Linked DNA regions of Astyanax mexicanus. The protein of the gene in region 1 interacts with the protein of each later gene in a pairwise test. Links are inferred from orthologs where the notes say so. Each region holds a gene or a part of one and is shown in the gene's direction. Other genes may lie near its edges.

Region 1 (7,895 bases):
TTGACTTTCTCTTAAGAATTACAAAGACATAAGAGTTCCTTCTCCTATCAACTTGCTGCTTTGGAGATATGAGGTTTTGTATCATCGATTGGGATGATTGACAGTATTTATATGTAATAGCAGTGCAATGTAATCCCATGTAATCCCATTATAATTAGTAATATTTTTTTTCTTTTAGCAGCTCTTCATTAATTTTACCACTTTTTTTAGCATTGCATAAATAACAAAACTAAATGTATTTCCTTCTGATTTCTCCACTAAACATAATTTGTATAGTAAAAACTATTTGGTACATTTATTTTGCCATTTTTGGCCGAACAAATTTGATTGGTGAATGTTCTGTGCATCCCTAATAACAAAAATATGCCCCATGAATAAGCATATTCTTACGTATTCCTGTGTAAAATCTATGAGGTTCTGCAGGTCGATGTCATCTCTGTAGGCTCTGATGTTGTTGTTGATGAAGAACTTGAGCTGGTCCTTGATCCAGTCTTTAAAGACGAAGGCCAGAACTCCAGTGGTCAGCTCCAGGAAAAATATTATCCCCAGGAATACGGAAAACTGGAGGAGGCGAAGAAAAAAATGTTAAGAAAATGAAGGAAAGAATCTGAATAACAGTCATGAAAAGCCAGTAAACCCTATGAAAAACTTTTGCTTAGGTTTGCCATATTTTTCGCACTATAAGGCTCACTTAAATTCCTTTTATTTTCCCAAAAAATCTAATGGACAGTGTGCCTTATAATCCGGTGCACCTTATGTATACATTTTACTATTTAGGTATTAAGGAGCAGTAAAGCACCTCTGCTGAAGTGCAGCGTTATAAGCACAGAGCACATAGTTTCTCAGAGTATAAAGTTTCTCCAGCACTAAGGCTGAGTGCAGCAGCTTTAGCATTAGCCGCTAAACCGCAGTGCTAGCTCTTTCGCAGTTCAGAGGCGAGTATATTGGAGTGTAGTCTGCGTGTTTGCCATGTTAAAACAAGCTATGTGGGACGAACCGGCAGTATTTAAAACCTGCTAGCACTGCGGTTAGCGGCTAACGCTAGTGCCGCTGCACCCAGCCTTAGTGCTGGAGAAGCTTCACTGAAAACTCTCCCTTATACTAATTTTGAAAGTCTAAACTTACTGTTAATAAACGGAAACGCTTTACTCACCCAAATAAACAGCTTTAAGGAAAGAAATCTGTATAGATTAACATCCAGCACTCGTTTGACTTCAAACGAAAAGTCTTTTTTTTTTTTTTTTATAAAAATTACAGTTTTGTTCACTTTGGCGTTTCCCCCAGTTTCAACATTCGAAGAAGGATTTTGGAGTAGTCTGTCCAGATTAATAGGTGATCCGAAATAATATTTAAATTGGACAGACTCCTCCAAAATCCTCTCTAACGAATACAATGGTATTGCGATATGCAGGTTCATTATTGATATGATCAATATGTGGCATCAAATACCGATATTTGTATTGAAACATAGGCCCTTTAAACTTCCTAAGACTAGTCCGCTAGTTTGACTTAGTAAAGTCAAACTACATATTACTCCATGTGGTGGCGCTAAGATCAAACGAATAGTCTAAACCTGCAGTAAGGAATATTGGTTGCTAAATTTTATGAAACCGACACCAAAAGATGTTGTGAAATATCATAGAGAATTGTCTTTAAATATACTGAGAATCACAGTATTGTGAAATCTTCGTTATCGTGGAAAATATACCGTGATAATATTGCATTGTTCACCCCTAAACCAGGATAAAAAAGATAAGTAAAATATTCTCCAACAGTCCTAAAATTGATTGTTTATTATGTCCAGGGGTCTGCCTATTTGTTCTCTGGCAAATGTCCTGAAATTCTACATTTGTATTGTCCACTGTACACAAAAACACAGGAAACAGACTCACAAACTTGAGCAGGAAGGAGTTTTCCCGCAGCGCTCCGATGCAGCCGGCGAACCCCAACACAAACATCACCCCTCCAACCACCAGAAACAGCCAGACAGGGTCGAACCCTCCCAGATCAGTGATGGAGGAGATGTTCGAGAGAACTCCCTGAGAGAAAGAGAGAAAAAGAGAGCGAGAGAGAGAACGAGTGAGGTGAGAGAGTCATTTTGTCTCATTTTCTGCCCAATATTGAAAGCCAATTAACCCTCTCCTCACTCATATGAACTGCCCTCTGCAGACAACTTTTAAGGAGATGTGGTTTTCATTTTCCAGCAGGACTTGGCACACTGCCAAAAATAACAATTGGTCTTATTGTTATTGGATTTTTGGGTTTTCATTGACTGTAAGCCATAATCATCAACAATAAAATAAATAAACGCTTAAAATAGATCACTCTGTGTGTAATACTGTGTGTCTATGTGTGTGTGTGTGTCTGTGTGTGTGTGTGTACCTTTTCGCTCCATGCCCATAAAGCCACGGACAAGAACGCCACCCCCAGCAGCTGAGGAGAGATTCAGCATCAGTTATAATGAGTGAACAAACACATTGCAAATGATTTATTTTATATATATATATATATATATATATATATATATATATATATATATATATATATATATAAAATAGTTAACTACATATACTACATATTTGAAGTATATAAATATATATATTTATATACTTCAAATATGTACAGTAACATGCATATATGATAAATTATAAAGAATATTATCATAATAATAATGATAATAATAATAACGTTGCAAAATAGCGCTAATCTAAGCTAATAAAAAATAAATCATGTTGTTATTATAATTAGTCACCAATACAAATAACAGTTATTACTGCTATTATTACACTGAAAAAAATGTTAATAATTGTATTAATATTTACACTGTGCAAAGGACATATTAACTTTGTAGAAATGTTTTAAGTCAGCCAATTTTATATTTGCTCATTTTTTTGTCTGATATTAAAGTTTGTTTGATAATCTGAAAAAAAAAAATTGGTATGTAAAAAAAATCTGTAGGGGGCAAAGATTTAAAACTGCATTTTAAACATGGCATTTTAACATATCTGAGTTTGTTTCAGTAAAGACAGAGTTAGAGATTGTCTGGTTTGTGAATTTTGTAAGTATTTGTGTGATTTTAAGCTAAAACCAGATCCAGATCCTCATTCTGACTGAAGCCCTGGACCCGATGAACCCGGGAGCTCTGCGAGCTCTGGAGCTGAGGGACCGGGCTGACAGACTGACAGTGCGCGCGGGGGGGGGGGAGACAGTAACACCGCGCGCCGCTCTCTCACCCAGAAGATGATGTTGAACCCGAAGATGAAGTATTTAATGCAGCACCCGACCTCGTGCACGTTAAAGTGCTTCCCGGACATCTTTACCGCGCGCTGCGTCTCTCCGAGAGATCCGCTGGAGCCGAGCCGCCGCTCCGTCGCCGCTCCGTCGCCGCTCCTCCGCTCACCCACCGCCTCCTGTCCGCCGCTCACCCGCTGCTCAGCGCCGCCACCATCGCGCCGGATTAAAGTCTGCGCCTCTAAACGCCCCGCAGGCGCTATTTAACAAAATAAACCCTCCGAGAAACGAAATACACCCGTGTCTAGAGACACGAGCTCAACCCAGCTCAACACCACAACAACGGAGCGGCGCTCCCTACCACAACCACTTAGCGACAGATCAGATCACTTCCGCCCAGCTCCATTCCTTAAATAAACTTATTTCAAAATAAAAGTCGAGTACAAGCTCTGGGTTCGCTCTAAGCGAGGATATTTACATCAAATCACATTACAATACATTACAATATAGAAGTGACCCAATTTACAAAAATTAATTTCAGAGAGGTTATCCTCGACCTGGACTTAAATCACCCCCTCCCCTGTCTAAAAAAAAAGAACTCACGCACACACCAAAGGATAACAGAACTTTATAATTTGGCTATTGCTCTGCAAAAAATAAGAGACCGCTTAAAAAATATGAAAATATCTTTGATTTTACCAAATTGAAATCCTCTGGAATATAATCAAGAGGAAGATGGATGATCACAAGCCATCAAACCAAGCTGAACTGCTTGAATTTTTGCACCAGGAGTGGCCTAAAACTATCCAAAAGCAGTGTGTAAGACTGGTGGAGGAGAACATTCCAAGAAGCATAAAAACTGGTGATTAAAAACCAGGGTTATTCCACCAAATATTGATTTCTGAACTCTTAAATCGTTATGAAGATGATGATTATTTTCTTTGCATTATTATTTAAGGTTTGAAAGAACTGAACCTTTTTCATTATTTTGTCCATCTCTTATTTTTTCCGACTTTCATGAGACTTGAGACATCTGTATATTGTATATTTTTGATAACCCCTATTTGACCACAAGGAGAGATTTATAATACATTTGGTTATAATCTTAGGTAAATAAGATACGCACAAATTGAAATTGCCCCAAAATACCTTCATTCCAAGCATTTGTTTATTTGGGTCTATATAGTTATATACATATCGTAAATTTAAATAATTAAAAAATAAAACGAATAAAAAATAAGAAGTCATAAATCCATTGAAGCTTTTAAATTTAGTTTAAATCCCACAATTTTTTATTTTGTTTTTATTTATTTTTTTGTTTTTTATGTTGTTGGATATATGATTCGCAAAATTGGTCTATTACTGTTTCTGTTTAGATTTGTTGGATAGTATTTGGTACAAAAATGATTCGGATAATGTACTCAACAGTTCCCTTAAACGTAATTATGGAGCTTTACAATCAGTCACGGTTTTTAAACCTAATATTTGTGGCTCTGCAGGAATGATAATAGAAAAAAAACATTAGTGCCATTTATTATATTTTTTCACTCCCCAATCTAATATTAATGTAATAAATAGAGGCATGAAAAAAAAACAAAACAAAGAAGCATCGATTGTTTTTAGCAAATGGACTTTTATTATGTCACACAGAGCGGAAGTTGCGTATTCAAAGGGCAGCAGTCTTCCTCCGGTTAGTGTGCGGGGTAAGACGGATCGGTTCCCCCGTTTAATCCGGTTTTGGCCTCCTCCAATCCGGTTTCTGGTCTTCTCTGATCCGGTTCCAGTGTGGTTGAGGTGTTCGGGTGAGGCTGCGCGGTCTGGGCGGTTCGGCGGGTTGAGCAGAGCTGAGATGTCCGCGGAAGAGGCGGAGAAAGCGGCCGGGCAGGAGGTGAGCGCGGCGGCGGGGGACGAGGAGGAGGAATGGCTGTACGGAGGTGAGCTCAATACTGAACACCAACACTGACTACTGAACACTCCAAAACACCCCATAATATTAAAACACTTACTCCTCAACACGCCATAACACTCTCTCCTCAACACTCACTCCTGAACACTCCATAACATTCAAACACTCACTCCATAACATTCAAACACTCACTCCGTAACATTCATTCACACCTCATAAACACTCCCTCCTAACATTCAGCCACACCATCCTCTCACACTCCGTCCTCACTAACACTTATTCACTCCCTAACACTCAGTAACACTCACTCCATAACACTCCAAAAACGTACTCCCCACTAGCACATATTCGCTCCATAACACTCTCTCCCTAATATTCAAACACTCCTTCCTCACTAATACTTATTCACTCCCTAACACTCAGTAACACTTACTCCATAACACTCCAAAGCACTCACTCCTCACTAAAACTTATTCACTCCATAACACTCATTCCTCACTAACACTTATTCACTCCCTAAAACTCAATAACACTCCCTCCAAAGCACTCCCTCCTAAGTAACACTCACTCACTAGCACTCCCTTACTAGCACTCCCTTCTAACATTCAAACACTCACTCATCACACTGGCTGACTCTGCACATACACTCGCTTTGCACGGACACTCACTCTACTCACTAACACTCACTCTGTACGGACACTCTGCAGGAACACTCACTCTACTCACAAACACTCACTCTACTCACAAACACTCACTCTACTCACAAACACTCACTCTACTCACAAACACTCACTCTACTCACAAACACTCACTCTACTCACAAACACTCACTCTACTCACACTCACTCACTCTACTCACAAACACTCACTCTGCACGAACACTTATCCACTCACTTACACTCCCTCCTAACAAACACTCAAACACTCACTCCTCACAGTAGGTGAGAGTGGTAGCCAAATAGTCCTGAATATTCTTGAAGTTTTGTAATATTTAATTAATTTTTACTTTTGTTCCAATGCACATGAATGAAAATAAACATTTTCTGGAAGAAATACTTAATTTCTCTAGAAAGAAAATATATGGATATAAAACAAAACAAATAGACCTTGCTTAAGTATTTACACTAGAACTGTTGTTTTTTTTGTATTTGATCAAATACAGTTGTGTCTCAGTATTGCAAAACTAAACAGAGTTCTGGGTTCTGGGTTAATTATGACTTCTAGACGTTATTCTACAGAAATATTACTGTATATTGTAATTTAAGTTAGTTTGCATTTATACCTTCTTAAAAGCATAAAATCATGTTATATATAAAAATGTACTGTTTAATATTGACTTGTTGGTGTTTATCCAGATGAAGGAGAAACCAAAGAAAATGAGGAGGAGGAGGTGGCGGCCAAACTGACCGCAGCAATCAGGTATTATACATACATTAGATCTGTTCACACTGTAACTGGTCTAGTTTGATTCTGTTCACATTGAAACTGGTCTAGTTTGATTCTGGTTACACTATAACTGTTGTAGTTTGTACTTGGTGGATCTGGAGTAGTTTGATTTGTATCAATGATAGTAGTGCTGGGCGGTATACCGGTCAATTAAAACGCGTACCAGAAATTAAAACCGGTATGGATTTTTTTATGTACCGCCAGACCGCTAGAGAATCGCTGTGTAGAGCAGCACCACCACCAAAGAAGCAGATACAGCTAGCTACCTAACGCTAGCCAGTTAGGACAACAACTTAACACACTTGAGTAATAGTAGCTCCGTCCTGCCCAGAGAAAAATGAGAACAGCACTTTATCTAAGGAGCACCTGCTGCTGTTTCTCACTGTATGGGTGTTTAATCTGAGTAAAATTAAAAAACTACAGCAAATATTCACTATTAATACTGTAATGCCTCTAATGGCTTCAAGAATAACACATAGTACATTGATATTAAATTTGTGTTTTACTTGTGCAATAGAGCTTTTGAGAAATATCTCTTTGATTACTTACATTTTGAGCATTTTAAGACCATTTAAAGAGTTTATGAAAATTTAAAGCATTATTCTTCTATATTATATGTACTCCTAATTTCTGCTTATACCGCCCAGCACTAAATGATCATCTACTTTTTACAGTGCTCCACCTGCCGCTCCTGTTACTGAGGAAGTCCCTGCCGGCAATGGAGTGGCTAGTCAGGTAAGAGTACATTTAAGTTATTATAATAAACTTAGGGACTGAGTTACCACTCATACAATTACAGTATTTAGAATAGAGTCATAGCTATACGATTGATGCGGTTGCCATGTCATACATGTAGTAGTCAGTTTTGTGTAGGTACTGGTGTGTAAATGATCAGTTCTGTGGCTTTTTTTAGGAGGAAGCTCCTGGAGACGATGAGGATAGTGAAAGTGACAGTGATGATGACGACGATGACGTCCGTGTTACCATCGGTGACATCAAGACAGGCGCACCGCAGTACACGTGAGTATGATGTGTTCTGTGTTACTGTAGAGAACCTGTCATCTGGGAGAAGACCAACATACTCCATTGTATGGAGTTGGACAGGTGCATCTAAAAAAAAAAATAATTTAATTGAAAAGTTACTTTTTCAGTTATTGCAGTAATTTCATTATGTTTTTTGCTCTTTTGATTGGATGTTTTTGTAGTAATGCTGTAATAAGTGCTGTATTTAAAGCTGTGGTGTCTTTTTCAGGACATACGGGGCAACACCGGTCAATCTGAACATAAAGTCTGGTGGCAGCAGGCCGTATGG
Region 2 (7,229 bases), on another chromosome or scaffold:
TGAGGGAAGGTGAGTTCAGACCCGACGCCAGTATTTTTAGCCAACAAGCTAAAGCTAACTGTACTACTACTGCTGCTGTTCGGGGTTTGTTTGTTTAACTTCTTAACTTTGTCTTTGTTTAACTACTGTTTAAAGAACGTTTATAGATAATGTTACATACAATCGGCGATATTCAACCCTTTCAGACCCTATATCCATTGTTGTCCTTCAGAATAGACCATGAACGAGATTATAAAGCAATGAAACAGTAGCTTGGCCCCATCCACTGCAGACTAGAAAAACAGTGGTTCTAAAGCCAATGAGTGAAAGTAACAGCTAGTTTTTAGTAATTTGATGTGATTTACACCAATATTTAACCATGTTCTTTTTGGTTTATGAAATAAAAAAATAAATGTTACACACGTTTTAGATTTTAGTTAATTGAATTTATTTGCTATGCAGCTTCTATTGTAAAATATTAGAGCTTTCTTTTCTGTGTATTACAGCATTCTTATATATTTTTTTTCCATCACTGGAGATAATTCAGGTCCGAAAGGGCTAAAGAACTGCAAGTAAAGGAAAATGATTCTGGTGATGGTTCTGGGCACTTATGGTGACATAATGTAATATATATATATATATATATATATATATATATATATATATATATATATATATATATGTGTATATATATATATGTGTATATATATATATATATATATATATATATATATATATATATATATATATATGAAAAAACCATGTGGAGCATTTTCATCTCATTTTATCTTATTCTCACACCAAAGTTGTGGTCATGCTTCAGGCTCTCATTCCCACATCTTAAAAAGTTGTGGCCATGCTTTATTCTTTTTTGCATGATGTCACTTTAGGTGCAAAGGAAAAAATAAATAAATCGAATACAGAAAGGGGGGGGGGGGGGGTGGGGTTATCTGTTAATCTCTTGTTCCCTCATTTTAGGTTACTGCCTTCAATTCATCCTGAACATGCTGCTAAACATTTTGCCTTCAATCCACAGCTGAAACTGAGCCTCATGAGGGAAAACGTAAAGTGGAGTCTCTGTGGCCGATTTTCAGACTTCACCACCAGCGGAGCCGCTATATCTTCGACCTGTTCTACAAAAGAAAGGCCATCAGTAGAGGTGAGTTCAGTATAGATATCCAGTTTACCAATTTATAGTCCCGGTATAATTATAATGATATTATGATACTTTCCTTTGTGTCACTAGTTAATAACAGTCTGGTATTACAGTTAACAGTAGCAAACCTCTTCATAGACAATAGATAAATAATATGTGCATACCCTCTCATTCAATGTTTTTATTTAATTTATTGATTTATTATTATTTTGCTTACATTGTAAATTAATACCGAAGTCATCCAAAGGAAGGAACACACAAGGAATCATATGGTAGACGTAAGTGTTTAAAAAAAAAAAAAACAATGAACCAAAATACAATTTTATCATGATATTTTTGGTGGTCTTTGCAACTGCACTGGTGATACTTTCAAAGTAAAAAAATCAGTGACTTTGATTTCTAAAAGTGTTTTTTTCTTTGCCTAGTTGAGTATTTCTTGCCATAGGATGGATTAGAACATTACTCAAATAGCGCTATTCACTGTTTATCAACTCTACCTCTTCACAACTTTACAACTGATGCTTTCAAACACATTAATTCAAGTAATTAACTTTTAAGTTCAGCACAGCTGTTAACTGAAAGCCGTCCCAGGTGACTCTACCTCATAAAGAGAAAATCCAACAAAGATGTGTAAATCGGTCATTTAAACAAGGTGGTACTTTGAAGAATCTAAAATATAAAACATATTCTGGTTTGTTTAACACTTTAGTGTACCAAATCTTTCATGTTTTTCTTTATAGTTTGGATGACTTTAGAATTAATCTACAATGCAGAACATTTTTAAATAATGAAAAAATCCTGAATTGATTTTGACTATTTGACTGAACTGATTTGACCAGCAATGTACATACATAGATACATGCATAGATACTTTATTGATCCTGAAATAAATGTAGCAGCCAGTACCATTGACACAAAACGGCACACAACAATAAGGGTGGTGCAGTATAACAAAATGAGTACAATTATTAGCTCTAGATGGTATAGCTATACATCTCACTTGTTGCAATAAGGCACGAACAAATTACAAATTACAATTATTAGCTTATTATGAACAGTGCGGGAATATAAACAAGAAAAATACTGCCTCCAAATATACACGTGTAGACAATAAATAGAAAATATGTTAAAATATGCATTCGAATCTTACTGGAACTAAACAGACACTGCAGTGATAAGTAAAACAATGTGCAAGAGGTCTAGGTATCGGCAGATAAAGGGAATACTGGATAAAAATATGCATATATTGTAAAGTGGCTAGTGTTCAGGAGTGCAGGTGTACAGTAAAGTGTCAATAGTGCAGATAAAAAAAACGTATGATTAGCAGTACACTAAAAGGTTATATATTGATGTTGAAGTAAAAGTGTTTCTGTATTGTGTGCCCAGAGCTGTATGAATACTGCATAAGAGAGGGATACGCCGACAAAAACCTCATAGCAAAGTGGAAGAAACAGGGCTACGAAAACCTCTGCTGCCTTCGCTGCATTCAGACACGTGACACCAACTTCGGCACAAACTGCATATGTCGAGTTCCTAAAGGAAAACTCGAAGTGGTAAGTTAGTACGGTACAATTTTGATGTTGCTTTTAATGAGCTGCTGATTTTAGTTTTCATGTCATTAATATCCCTTTTACTATTATAAACCAACATCATGTTTAATAAAGCCTACAGCCCATTTCTAATAGTCTAATAGATTTCTCAATTTATTCCAAACAGGGTCGGATCATTGAGTGCACTCACTGTGGGTGCAGAGGATGCTCCGGATAATCAAGGGCTTGTATTTCATTTCTGGGATGTTGGGGCTCAAAACATTTTGATTTCTTTGATTTTAAAAGTGTCTGCTTGCTTTCATTCCGGATTGTCTGTAAGTGAATGTAGAAATGTTCATCATTTGTGTATTTTGTGAAAATGTCATTTTTATTCAAATTACCTTCAAAAACCTTTAAAATGTGCTCTTTACTTTGTTCATTTTGTAAAATAAAATCCTTGTTGTAAATGTTTGTGCTTTTTTTGTAACATTTTATAAAGAATTACATATACTGTTGAATTGTCAATTACATGAACATTTAACTATTTACCAGTCATCAGTACAATGAAACATGAATACAAAATACATTAATTAACTTCTATAGGAACTGTCTTTTTTAAAATGTCAGCATGAAGATTAAAGTTTAGAAAAAAATTTATATAAATTCATAATTTTCCATCTTATTATAACTACTTCCAGCATAATGATGAACCATGCCATAAGGAAAAGTCTTTCTAACTGGTTTAGTGGACAAGACAATACGTTCTGTGTTGTTATGTGGCTCTCTAGTGGGGGTTAAATTTATTTTTGCTGGTCATCTGATTGGAATCCATCAGCATCTCTGTGTTTGGTAAAACAGGAGATCCCCAGCATGAATGTATTCCTAAAGAATCAAAATGCAAAAGGACACAATATGATGTTTTTTTAAAAGTAAAAATTTTAAAGCACAGGAATTAACGTTATTTTCTATTTGATTTTAACATATTAAACACATTTACCATTTACTTTTTGCACAGGCAACATTTAATGTTTTGTAGTATGTCAAAGCAGCAGTAGCAGATTATTTTCCTTTTAAAAATATAAAATATAAAGAAATCTATTTTCAATTCAGTTTTATTGTCAATACTGCACATGTACAGAACATACAGAGGATTGAAATACATTACTCTTCTTCCCAAAGCTACAAGTACAGCAATATAAAAATTTAGACATAAAAGAATAGTATATATATAGCTAACGATTTTTTAATTCATTAATATTTTCTTTATTTTACTTACTTAACTAAAAACGTGGTTTATAAGGTCAAATCGCTTTTTTGGAAAAAGACTTTTGTGCTGCTTTGGTTTAAACAACGTGGATCTTGGGGTCCGTCCCAAACCACACTCTCTTAAGATTCTCTAAGCTGCTTAATGTTCTATACTAGTCGGTGCACTTCTAGGGGTGGTGCACTACTTATATAGGCTATGTAGTGCAGCTGTGTGCGGTTTAGGACAGACCCTACGTCTGTTACTGCTGCTTCCGTTAAAAGCGTTCATTGGACTGTTTAATCAATAACAGAGTATTTGGTTGGGCTATATTGCGACTGTATGGTATCCCAGCATATACATGATTTATATTAGCAAATCAAGACCCTCTTAAATACACTGTAAATTGTTTTTTTGTTGATAAAATCTTATAGAAGTGCGGTTGTTGGCGACCCGGTTCTCTGGGTTGTGCTGGGGTTGATTGAGCGGCCTGGCGGAGGAGCGGGGCTGTGAGTGTGCGCGGAGGGAGCGGAGCGAGGGGCGCTGCTGTGTTTATTAGTTAGCGGAATATTCTGATAGATAATCGCTATGGTTTATTAAACTGCTGCTCCTGAAGGAGGATTTAGGAGTTTTTACATGTTGTAGCGCTTGGTGGCTTTGGTTTAACTCCTATATCACACAGCCTTGTTGTTAAATTTGGTAGGTTTTTGCCTAGCAAGCTACGTGTAGCGTTTAGCCAGTTAGCAGGAGCTGCAGGGCTGTGTATGGGGGAGACTGTAAGTGCTGTAAGTTTGTTAAAAAGCACAAGAAAAGAGATTAAACATGCAGGAATTAATCGCCAACGTTGATCACCTCAAGTTTGATCTGGAGATCGCTGTGGAGCAGCAGCTCGGCGCTCAGCCCTTACCGTTTCCAGGGATGGACAGTAAGTTCACTGAGCCAGTTAAACAACAACGCTCAGTTCACCTGATAACTCAAGTTCAACCCCTGTCATTTACCTGCTCCCCCTCCACAGCTATATACTCTACAGCTATAGCGCATTATACTGTTATATATATTCTACACCTATATACTCTACAGCTATAGCACATTATACTGTTATATATATATTCTACACCTATATAATCTGCAGCTATAGCACATTATACTGTTATATATATTCTACACCTATATACTCTACAGCTATAGCGCATTATACTGTTATATATATTCTACACCTATATACTCTACAGCTATAGCACATTATACTGTTATATATATATTCTACACCTATATAATCTGCAGCTATAGCACATTATACTGTTATATATATTCTACACCTATATACTCTACAGCTGTAGCACATTTATACTGTTATAGACTCCAGGCCCTTACCTGCTTGCCTTCTACAGCTATATACCCAACAGTTTTAGCACATTTTACTGTTATATACTCTACACCTATATACTCTACAGCTATAGCATCTTTTACTTTTATATATTTTACAGCTATAGCACATTTATACTGTTATACACTCTACACCTAAAGTTATATACTCCAGTCCCTAACCTGCTTGCCCTCTACAACTATATACCCGACAGCTTTAGCACATTTTACTGTTATATACTCTACACCTATATACTCTACAGCTATAGCAGCTTTTACTTTTATATATTCTACAGCTATAGCAGCTTTTACTTTTATGTACTCTACACCTATATACTCTATAGCTATAGCAGCTTTTACTGTTATAGAATCTACACCTATATACTCCTGTCATTTAAATGCTCCCTCTCTACATCTAAATATTCTACAGCTAGAGCAGCTTTAACTGTTATATACTCTACACATATACAGTGAACTCATCTGTCCTTTACCTGCTCCCTCTCTACAGCTGTATACCAAACAGTTATAGCAGCTTTTATGGTTATATACTGTATAGCTATATACTCCTGTCCTTTACCTGCTTTCTCTCTACAGCTATAGCACATTATACTGTTATATACTTTACACATATATACTCCTGTCCTTTACGTGCTCCATTTACAGCTATAAAAGATTTTACTCTTATGTACACTACAGCTTTAGTAGATTTACTCATATATATTCTACAGTTTAGCAAATTTACTCTAAGATACAGATAGAGGATTATATATACCCACCAGCTATTTACTCTACAGCTATAGCCGGTTTCATACTTGTATATTTTACAGTAATATACACTGCAGCTAAAGCAGTCTGTGAAGCAATATACTGCAAAACTATAGTAGGATTAATAGCTATATACTTTGCCCAAATATGTACTCTACAGATTTATGTATGTGTATTTTATACTCCACAGCCAAACCAGTTTTATTGGTTTACCTCTCTGTCTACCTGTCTGATTGTGTATATAGTTTTGTTCTACTGTAACTCTGTGTTTCTCTGTACAGAGTCCGGTGCCGCTGTGTGTGAATTTTTCATGAAAGCTGCTTGTCTGAAAGGTAAGTGGTAGTTTATTTATAAAAATAACCCAAAAGCTTTTTTGGGGCAGCTTGGACATAATTAATCTGTGTTACTTTTGCAGGTGGAATGTGTCCTTTTCGGCACATCAGTGGAGAAAAGACAGTTGTGTGTAAACACTGGCTGCGAGGTTTATGCAAGAAAGGGGACCAGTGTGAATTTTTACATGAGTATGACATGACGAAGATGCCAGAGTGCTATTTCTACTCCAAATTTGGTAAAAAAAAAATCTTAACATATGGTTACTTGAAAATGTACTCACAAATTGTTTTTTTGTTGTAGCACATTTATACTGTTATACACTCTACACCTATATACCCGACAGCTTTAGCATGTTTTACTGTTATATACTCTACACCTATATACTCTACAGCTATAGCAGCTTTTACTTTTATAAACTCTGCACCTATATACTCTATAGCTATAGCAGCTTTTACTGTTATAGAATCTACACCTAAATACTACTGTCATTTAAAAGCTTTAAAAGCAGTCTGTTTATAAGAAAGTATGATGATGAGGCTATGATACAGATTTAATCTGGGCTTTTATGGATATATGTTTTAGCTTATGTGATTTGTTATTGTTTTGAAATGTGTTATTTATATTTGACAGGTGAGTGCAGTAATAAAGAATGCCCCTTCTTGCACATTGACCCAGAATCTAAGATTAAAGACTGTCCATGGTATGATCGGGGATTCTGCAAACATGGTAAGTCTGTGTACTCTAGTGGACATACATCAGGGGGTCCCGGAGGTTCAGTGTTTGGCACAGTTTGTGATTCTCCTTCTCAATCACAGATGATTTATCTTGTGTCTTAATGCCAATCTATGTTGTATGTTAA
Region 3 (7,349 bases), on another chromosome or scaffold:
CCTCGTGTGTGAATTTAATTTAATGTAATTTGTAGGGCTGGCCCGAATAGCGTTTTTTGAGCTCCGGATATTCGGCACTGATTCGAAGCGAATATTCGAATATTCGTTTTTAAAAAAAGAGGTAAAACAAATAAATAAAAAAAAAGCAAATCACGGCCCCTTTAATCCACTGAAAAATGTTCAATTTGCTCTGACCGACGAGACCCCGGATTTTTGGTGTTTTTATCCCCCATATTTTTGTGTTTTCACCCCATATTTTTTCTGTGTTTTTAGCCCAGATTTCATTGTGTTTTCATCCCGGAATTTCTGCTGCCCCACACCGCGGCTTATCCGCTGCGTAAGCAGGCTAGGAGGCTGCTGCTGCACGGTTTCTCCGCTGCGCAAGCCAGCCCAGTAAATTGCTGTTTGTGTTTTCACACTTAGGCTATTTGCTTAAAAAAACAAACAAAAAAAACGTTTGTTCAGGAAGTATTTTATATTCTTAAACATTGTTAATTATATTAGAGGACAGTCATTGTAAACTGTACTTGGTCTATTTCGGTTAAAGGATTGTGCAGGGCATATTACTGATTTTGTATTTTTGCACTTGGGCTATAAGCTCAATATTAAATATTTTGTTTGTTTAGAAATTATTTTATATTTTTAAACCATGTTAAATTATATTAGAGTAGAGGAAAGTCATTGTTAATGACGTTATTGTACTTGGTCTATTTCGGTTTAAGCATTGTGCAGGGCATAGCCGTATTACTGATTTTGTATTTTTGCACTTGGGCTATAAGCTCAATATTAAATATTTCGTTTGCTTAGAAATTATTTTATATTTTTAAACCATTTTAAATTATATTAGATAAGAGGAAATTCGTTCAGACATCATTTTTGTAGGCCAGGCTTTTGTAACCGATTTAGCCCCTACTGTTGCCACATTACCTCTTACGTTTTATTATATAAATCAGTTTCGAAGAGCCTGCATTTTTTTTTATCATGTATAATAGAGGTCTGCGCGAGACTGATTTTTAAACCCACTCTTCCACGCTCCCGCGTTTCTGTCTCGTTACCGCTCCGCAAAAAAATTGCTTCTTTTAATCCCGCGCCCGCCCGCCACATACACATTTCTGCCGCTCCCGCCCCACGTTCCTAATATAAATTAAATAAACTACATTTAATGCTTCAAATCTACTTATATATTTATTAAAACAGCAGCGCTGAATAGTGTGGTCCCGTTCCTTACCCCAGTCCAAACACCATCGGTGTGTGCGTGTGTGTGTCGGTCCATCCTGCGCGTTGAGAGTTTTCTTTAGGTTTTTTTTTTTTTTTTACAATTATTACAGTTTTCTTAACTATTTATTAATTTGCTCCCGCATCGTCTGGATTAAACCCCCGCTCCAGCCAATAACAGTTCAGCTCTGTCCCGCGCGCAAGATATTCTGACGGGACCCGCGAAAACAGAAGTGGTTAGAGTGAGGTGGAACTCTGGAAAGGAGAAAAAAAACGAATATCCGAATACCAAAATTAAAAACCGAATACCTACTCAACGAACGAATATCCGAATACCCGAATATTCGGGTCCAGCCCTAGTAATTTGAACATTTTTTTGTCTGTTTGTGATTGGTTTATGTGTATCGTGTGTGATACTACATAAAGAAAATGAGTTCCAGTCCTAAAATAGCTTTGCCAGTTTGTTTAAGTAATTTTATGGGATGCAATAGATAATAAAAAATAAAAGGGAAAAATAAATCAAAGTTCAAAAGTTTTCAAAGAGAAGCTCCAGAGTTCAACCTTGACTACTGTCTTCTGCTCAGTGTTTTATACCAAATCTATCAGATCTCAGCACACAGTTCTACTAAACACGTGTGAGAGTTAAGCTTCTAGGTCGCCTTACCCTCTTACAGCAGCCTGTTTTAAAATTAAAACCGGCTCTGTGTGTTTTTGTCCATTAAACTTGCACAGACAGCACTCTGGAACTCACACACATCTCCAATAGACAACAAATCACTGATTTAATATACAGAAACTATACTGATTCCACTGAAAAGGCCTTAAAGGAGAACTCTGGTGTAAAATAGAATTTTGTTGTAGTAAAACATGATAAAAAGTACTTATCTTTGATGAATAGCACACCTCCGTTCTCCCACAGCGTTCTGAGATCCAGAAATTTTAACAGTTTGTCCAAACACCCTTTAGACTGGGTGATCAGGGGCATAATTTGCCCCGATAACTCGCTTTTTACACCGTTATCCAGCTCAAAGTAGCTCCACACCTCCTTGCTAGAATCCAGAGAGCCCTGACATTTGAAACGAGACATTAATAACTTAAAAAGTGCACAAGAAGCTAATTAAAAACTTTTATAAAGCTTTTAGCTCTGAGCGCCTCCATCACTGTACTGATAAACATAGATATACATAGACTCCACATAGCATAGCAGCCAGCGCCATTGGGCAGGCTATGCGAAGTCTATGTGTGTATATATATATACAGTATATATATATATATATATATATATATATATATATATATATATATATATATATATATATATATATATATATATATATTTATGTTATTAGCGCAGATGGATTCTTACCCATGGTTAAATATGAATCACCCAAAGAAAAGGAACCAGAGATCATGCTAATACTGGATAAATACTGGATAATATATTGATTATGCTAAATTGCTAATTGATTCAGGTAAAATACCGATTATTCATTTAATTGACAATTGAACATAATAAACTATAAAAAACTCCATATTCTTTTAAATTGATCTAGTGGTATTTTCTAATCTTTAACATTTTTTTTTTTTTTTTTGAAGAATATATTTTCAGAACCTGTTGAGTTGTGACGGATCTCTGTTCAGTGAAAAAATAAAATTTAGTTGTAATATTTTAAGGGTTGTTTGTTTGTGTGTCATTGAGTTTGTTATCAAGTCTGTCCACCCATTCAGAATTTATGTAATATACTTCATGAAAATACATTTTAAATATACTTTCACTGTATTTCCATAAATGTATTTTAAGCAAATATATGTAGTGACATTAAAAACCGATTAAACACTGCGTTACTTAAATCTTCTTAAGTTTGTAGAAGCTTTTATGTTGTATTTAAATATAGCTTAATTACAACTAACATATACTTAAGTTGCCGTAAGTACAATTAGTATGTATTTAAGTACTTTTCCATGTTAACCATACTTTAAAAAAATACCAACTTAAAATGCACTTTTCTTTTACAAGGGTAAGTGCATTTTTCTTGCAAATAAAAGTAACATATCTGCTATTTATTTATTAAAATATAGATTAAACATATTATATTGTGGAAATATATTGTAAGGCACTTAACACATATAAAACACGTAAACACCTCTTGCAGCTCTGCTGAATCATGACTAACCTTCACCCTTCATCTTATAAGATAAGAAAAGATTCTTTATTCATCCCACAGCGGGGAAATTTGCAACATTACAGCAGTGCAAAGGACAGAACAGAGGTGTCAGAAAAAATACAACAGTATAACACACAAAAATACAAGAAAACATAACTATACTGAAAAATATATATATATCTAAAATCTGGTTCTCCAGTGTGTATATTCTACAATAACCAGTGATCACAGTTATTGTACACAGGCTGACATAAATAAATGGCAAATAAATAGTACATAATTGGTGGTATTGCACATATTATTGGTGAATTTAGCTATTGCACATGGTAATTAAACAGTTTTATTGCACATAGTAAGAAAAAGTGCAAATAGTGAACTGCTGTTTACTGAGCGCAGCACCTGTTATACAGTCTGACATGTATATCATATGATACGATCACTATTATGATTTTATTTTTATTTTATTATATGTTTAAAATAAAAACACTTCAAATATCAAAATGTTTGTGTTCAGCAAACAACAACAAACTAAAACTAAAATATGAACAGCAAAATGATTTGTCCCACTAAAAACCATTACAGCCTTAAAACTATTTGTTACATGACAATCAGACTAGCTATACATAAGTTTTTTACACACCTTTTCTCATTCAATGTGTTTTCTTAGGGTTTGTTTAAATTATTTTTTACATTGTAATTTTAATATTAAAGACTATATTAAAGCTATACAGGAACATGCAAAATTAATGTGGAGGACTAAACACATTTTTACTGTTTACTACGTAGTTTAATATGTGTCTCTTAATTGTTTTCATGTCTTTAATATTAATCTAAAATATAGAATTAAATGAAAATATTTAATTTAATATGTTTATTCTGGGTGCTGCAGTTCCGCTGCCTGCCTGTAGGGGGGAGTAAAGAGCGCGCGTGTCCGGTTCAGCTCCGCTTCCGGTTTCGGTTTCCCCTCTGTTTGGGGAGAGAGAGGTTTAATTTGTTTGTTTGTCGGTCTGTCTGTCTGTCTGCTTTTTTGTCTGTCTATCTGTCTGTCTGTCTGTCTGTTGGAAATGAATGGGGATGAAAGCGGAGAGAGTAACCCGGAGCCGGAGGAGTTTATAGCGTTAGAGGACTTTACCGGCAGCGGAGCAGAGCAGGTCTGTTACACCAGCCTCACAATTCCACCTTAAATATCTAACGCTAGCTAATGTTGCGTCTCAGCCTGTTCCACCTTAAATAGTTAGTTATAGGGACAGTTTTCCAGAGAGGGGTTCAAAGTAGTCTGGGAAAATGTTCCCTAATGTTTATATCTGGTCCTTTTCCACCTTAAATAACTAGTTAATGTTTTTTTATGTGAGACTGTTCCACCTTAAATATAACTATTGATTGTAATTGAGGCTGTAATAAAATCTGTCTTAGCGTTTCGCGTTTCTCTTTCGCGTTAAATATCTAGCTATGTTTAGCTAGCTAATCTGAAGCTTTTCCACCTTAACTGATGTTTTTTAATCTGAGACTGTTCCCCCTTAAATAGTTATGGGGCAGTTTCCATGGAGGGGTTCAGTTCAATCTGGTAACCTTTTCCACCTTAACTTACTAACGTTTATATCTGAAACTGTTCCACCTTAAAAATCTAATTAATGTTTACATCTGGAGCTTTTCCACCTTAACTGACTAACTAAATTGTTTTATACGAAACTGTTCCACCTTAAAATGTAACTAATGTTTATATCAGAAGCTTTTCCACCTTAACTAATGTTTATATCTGAAGCTTTCCCACTTTAAATAATGTTTATATCTGAGACTGTTCCACCCTAAATGACGCTATATGTCTTAGACTGTTCCACAGTTTGAGACTGTTTCACCTTAAATATCTAAATAATATTTATATCTGAATCTTTTGTGAGGCTTCCACCTTAAATATCTAGCGAATGTTTATAACTCAGACTGTTCTACCATAAATATCTATATAATATTTACATCTGTGGATTTTCCACACTAATTAATGCTTATATCCTGACTGTTCCACCTTAAATATCTATTTACCATTTACATCTGAAGCTTTTGCACAGTAATTAACGTTTATATATAAACGGTTCCACCTGAAGTATCTATATAATATTTATATCTGAATATTTTGTGACGCCTCCACCTTAAATATCTAGCGAATTTTAATATATCTCAGACTGTTCCACCTTAAATATCTATATAATATTTATATCTGAAGCGTTTCCACACTAAATAATAGACTTTTATGTATACTGTTCCACCTTAAATATCGACACAATATTTATATCTGAAGCGTTTCCACACTAAATAATAGACTTTTATGTATACTGTTCCACCTTAAATATCTATACAATATTTATATCTGAAGCTTTTCCACACTAACTAATTAATGCTTAATCTAGGCTGTTCCCCCTTTAATATCTAGCTAATGTTTACGTCTGAAGCTTTTTCACATTAACTAAATATTTGAGACTCTTCCACCTTAAAAAATCTACCCCAATATTTCCAAAGGTATTTAGACAACACTTCATATGGGTGTGCTCAACTACTAATTTTAGGTGTTCTGAATGTGTGAAAGTGTTACTCTGACTCTGGATCTCCTCACAGCTCAGTTTTGCAGTTGGAGACCGGATCCTGATCCATGATCAGAGCTGTGCTGATTGGTGGTGGGCGGAGGTGGAGGGCCGTTATGGGTATGTACCCTCCGGCTACCTGCACCACCCGGATGCTGAGGTGGAGGACGGCTGGCAGGATGAGGAGTATTTTGGAAGTTATGGAACTTTGGTAAGTGTTTGACTTTTGGGGAGTGTCCTGTTTTATTATGGTGTTTGGTATTAAAGTGATAGTTTGGTAAGAAATCATTTTACCATTAAACAATATGGCTGCCTTAAAGTTGTGTTGGAAATATCGTATTTACGAGAAAAGCACACATGATCTTCTCCACCGACTTGAATTTAACTGTAGGAAACTCATTGCAGTCTATTTTATAAAGATGTACATTAAATCACACATAAAGGAATCATTTGCGTACATGCTGCTGATACTTAAGATATATATATTTTATTTTAGCCAGTGCCCTAATTTCCGACTGTTACTGTATATGGTTATTCTTTGTATGTCCTCGATTATTTATTTATTCTTCTTTTACAATGACACTTTAAGAACAACCTTAAATTTGGTAAAACGCTCAATCTGAAGGAACTTTAAAACTGAGAAATTTCTTTAAAATAAAGAAGAATGTAAAAATTTCACAAAAACAACGTTTTTTAGGACAAAAATTCGTCCTAAAGGTGAAAGTGTCATAAACTGAATTGTACAATCCAGGAATGTTAAAGAATCGTCTCCACAGAGCTCTCCAGACTTCCTCTGAACGTTATCTGTGTTTTCGGCCAATTCTGCCTCCCTGTTTTGTGTCTATAGAAACTTCACCTGGAGATGCTGTCGGACAGACCACGTACAGAGACGTACCGGCAGGTCATCCTGAGCAACAGCACCGCCCTGAGGGGGAAAGTGGTGATGGATCTGGGCTGCGGCACCGGCATCATCAGTCTGTTCTGTGGGCGTCTAGCAGAACCTGCAGCGGTAAATACGTACACAGCAGGACATTAACACACAGGAACGTTATCAGAAATCAATATTTGGTGGAATAATAAACTGTTTTTATTCACAGTTTTCATGCATCTTGGCATGTTCTCCTCCACCAGTCTTACACACTGCTTTTGGATAACTTGCCTTTATTCCTGGTGCAAAAAATTAAGCAGTTCAGTTTGGTTTGATTGCTTGTGATCGTCCATAAACGTAGCAAAACAAAACAAAACAAAAAGCCCATTATATTATTTTTCCTCTGTCTGATCACAGTTTTATCATCACTTTTATGATAAACACAATAGATAATAATTATAAGAGAATAATATATAATATAATAATAATAATAATATATATTCATATATATACCCTGAAACGTATACC

Evidence for each region.
Region 2: the proteins of fip1l1b (region 1) and cpsf4 interact in binary tests that used the Homo sapiens proteins (3 or more experiments, as listed by UniProt). The two-hybrid records come from large-scale screens. The link is inferred for Astyanax mexicanus from reciprocal best matches to the Homo sapiens genes FIP1L1 and CPSF4.
Region 3: the proteins of fip1l1b (region 1) and prmt2 interact in a two-hybrid assay, tested with the Homo sapiens proteins (2 studies listed by BioGRID and IntAct). The link is inferred for Astyanax mexicanus from reciprocal best matches to the Homo sapiens genes FIP1L1 and PRMT2.

Annotation. Positions count from the first base shown.
Region 1 is NC_064432.1:5,939,758-5,947,652, reverse strand, and holds the start of fip1l1b (pre-mRNA 3'-end-processing factor FIP1), read left to right. Parts: upstream 1-4,891; 5' UTR 4,892-5,080; coding exon 5,081-5,165; intron 5,166-6,492; coding exon 6,493-6,556; intron 6,557-7,257; coding exon 7,258-7,318; intron 7,319-7,496; coding exon 7,497-7,603; intron 7,604-7,835; coding exon 7,836-7,895. Other genes in the region: tspan5b (tetraspanin-5), read right to left, coding at 391-561, 1,893-2,039, 2,383-2,433, 3,234-3,314.
Region 2 is NC_064410.1:54,223,779-54,231,007, forward strand, and holds the start of cpsf4 (cleavage and polyadenylation specificity factor subunit 4), read left to right. Parts: upstream 1-4,179; 5' UTR 4,180-4,729; coding exon 4,730-4,832; intron 4,833-6,318; coding exon 6,319-6,369; intron 6,370-6,452; coding exon 6,453-6,605; intron 6,606-7,000; coding exon 7,001-7,096; intron 7,097-7,229. Other genes in the region: protein BUD31 homolog, read left to right, coding at 1-9, 1,016-1,138, 2,522-2,688, 2,852-2,902. UniProt on the Homo sapiens protein: Component of the cleavage and polyadenylation specificity factor (CPSF) complex that play a key role in pre-mRNA 3'-end formation, recognizing the AAUAAA signal sequence and interacting with poly(A) polymerase and other factors to bring about cleavage and poly(A) addition.
Region 3 is NC_064418.1:45,908,479-45,915,827, forward strand, and holds the start of prmt2 (protein arginine N-methyltransferase 2), read left to right. Parts: upstream 1-4,310; 5' UTR 4,311-4,444; coding exon 4,445-4,531; intron 4,532-5,987; coding exon 5,988-6,164; intron 6,165-6,800; coding exon 6,801-6,962; intron 6,963-7,349. UniProt on the Homo sapiens protein: Arginine methyltransferase that methylates the guanidino nitrogens of arginyl residues in proteins such as STAT3, FBL, histone H4. Acts as a coactivator (with NCOA2) of the androgen receptor (AR)-mediated transactivation.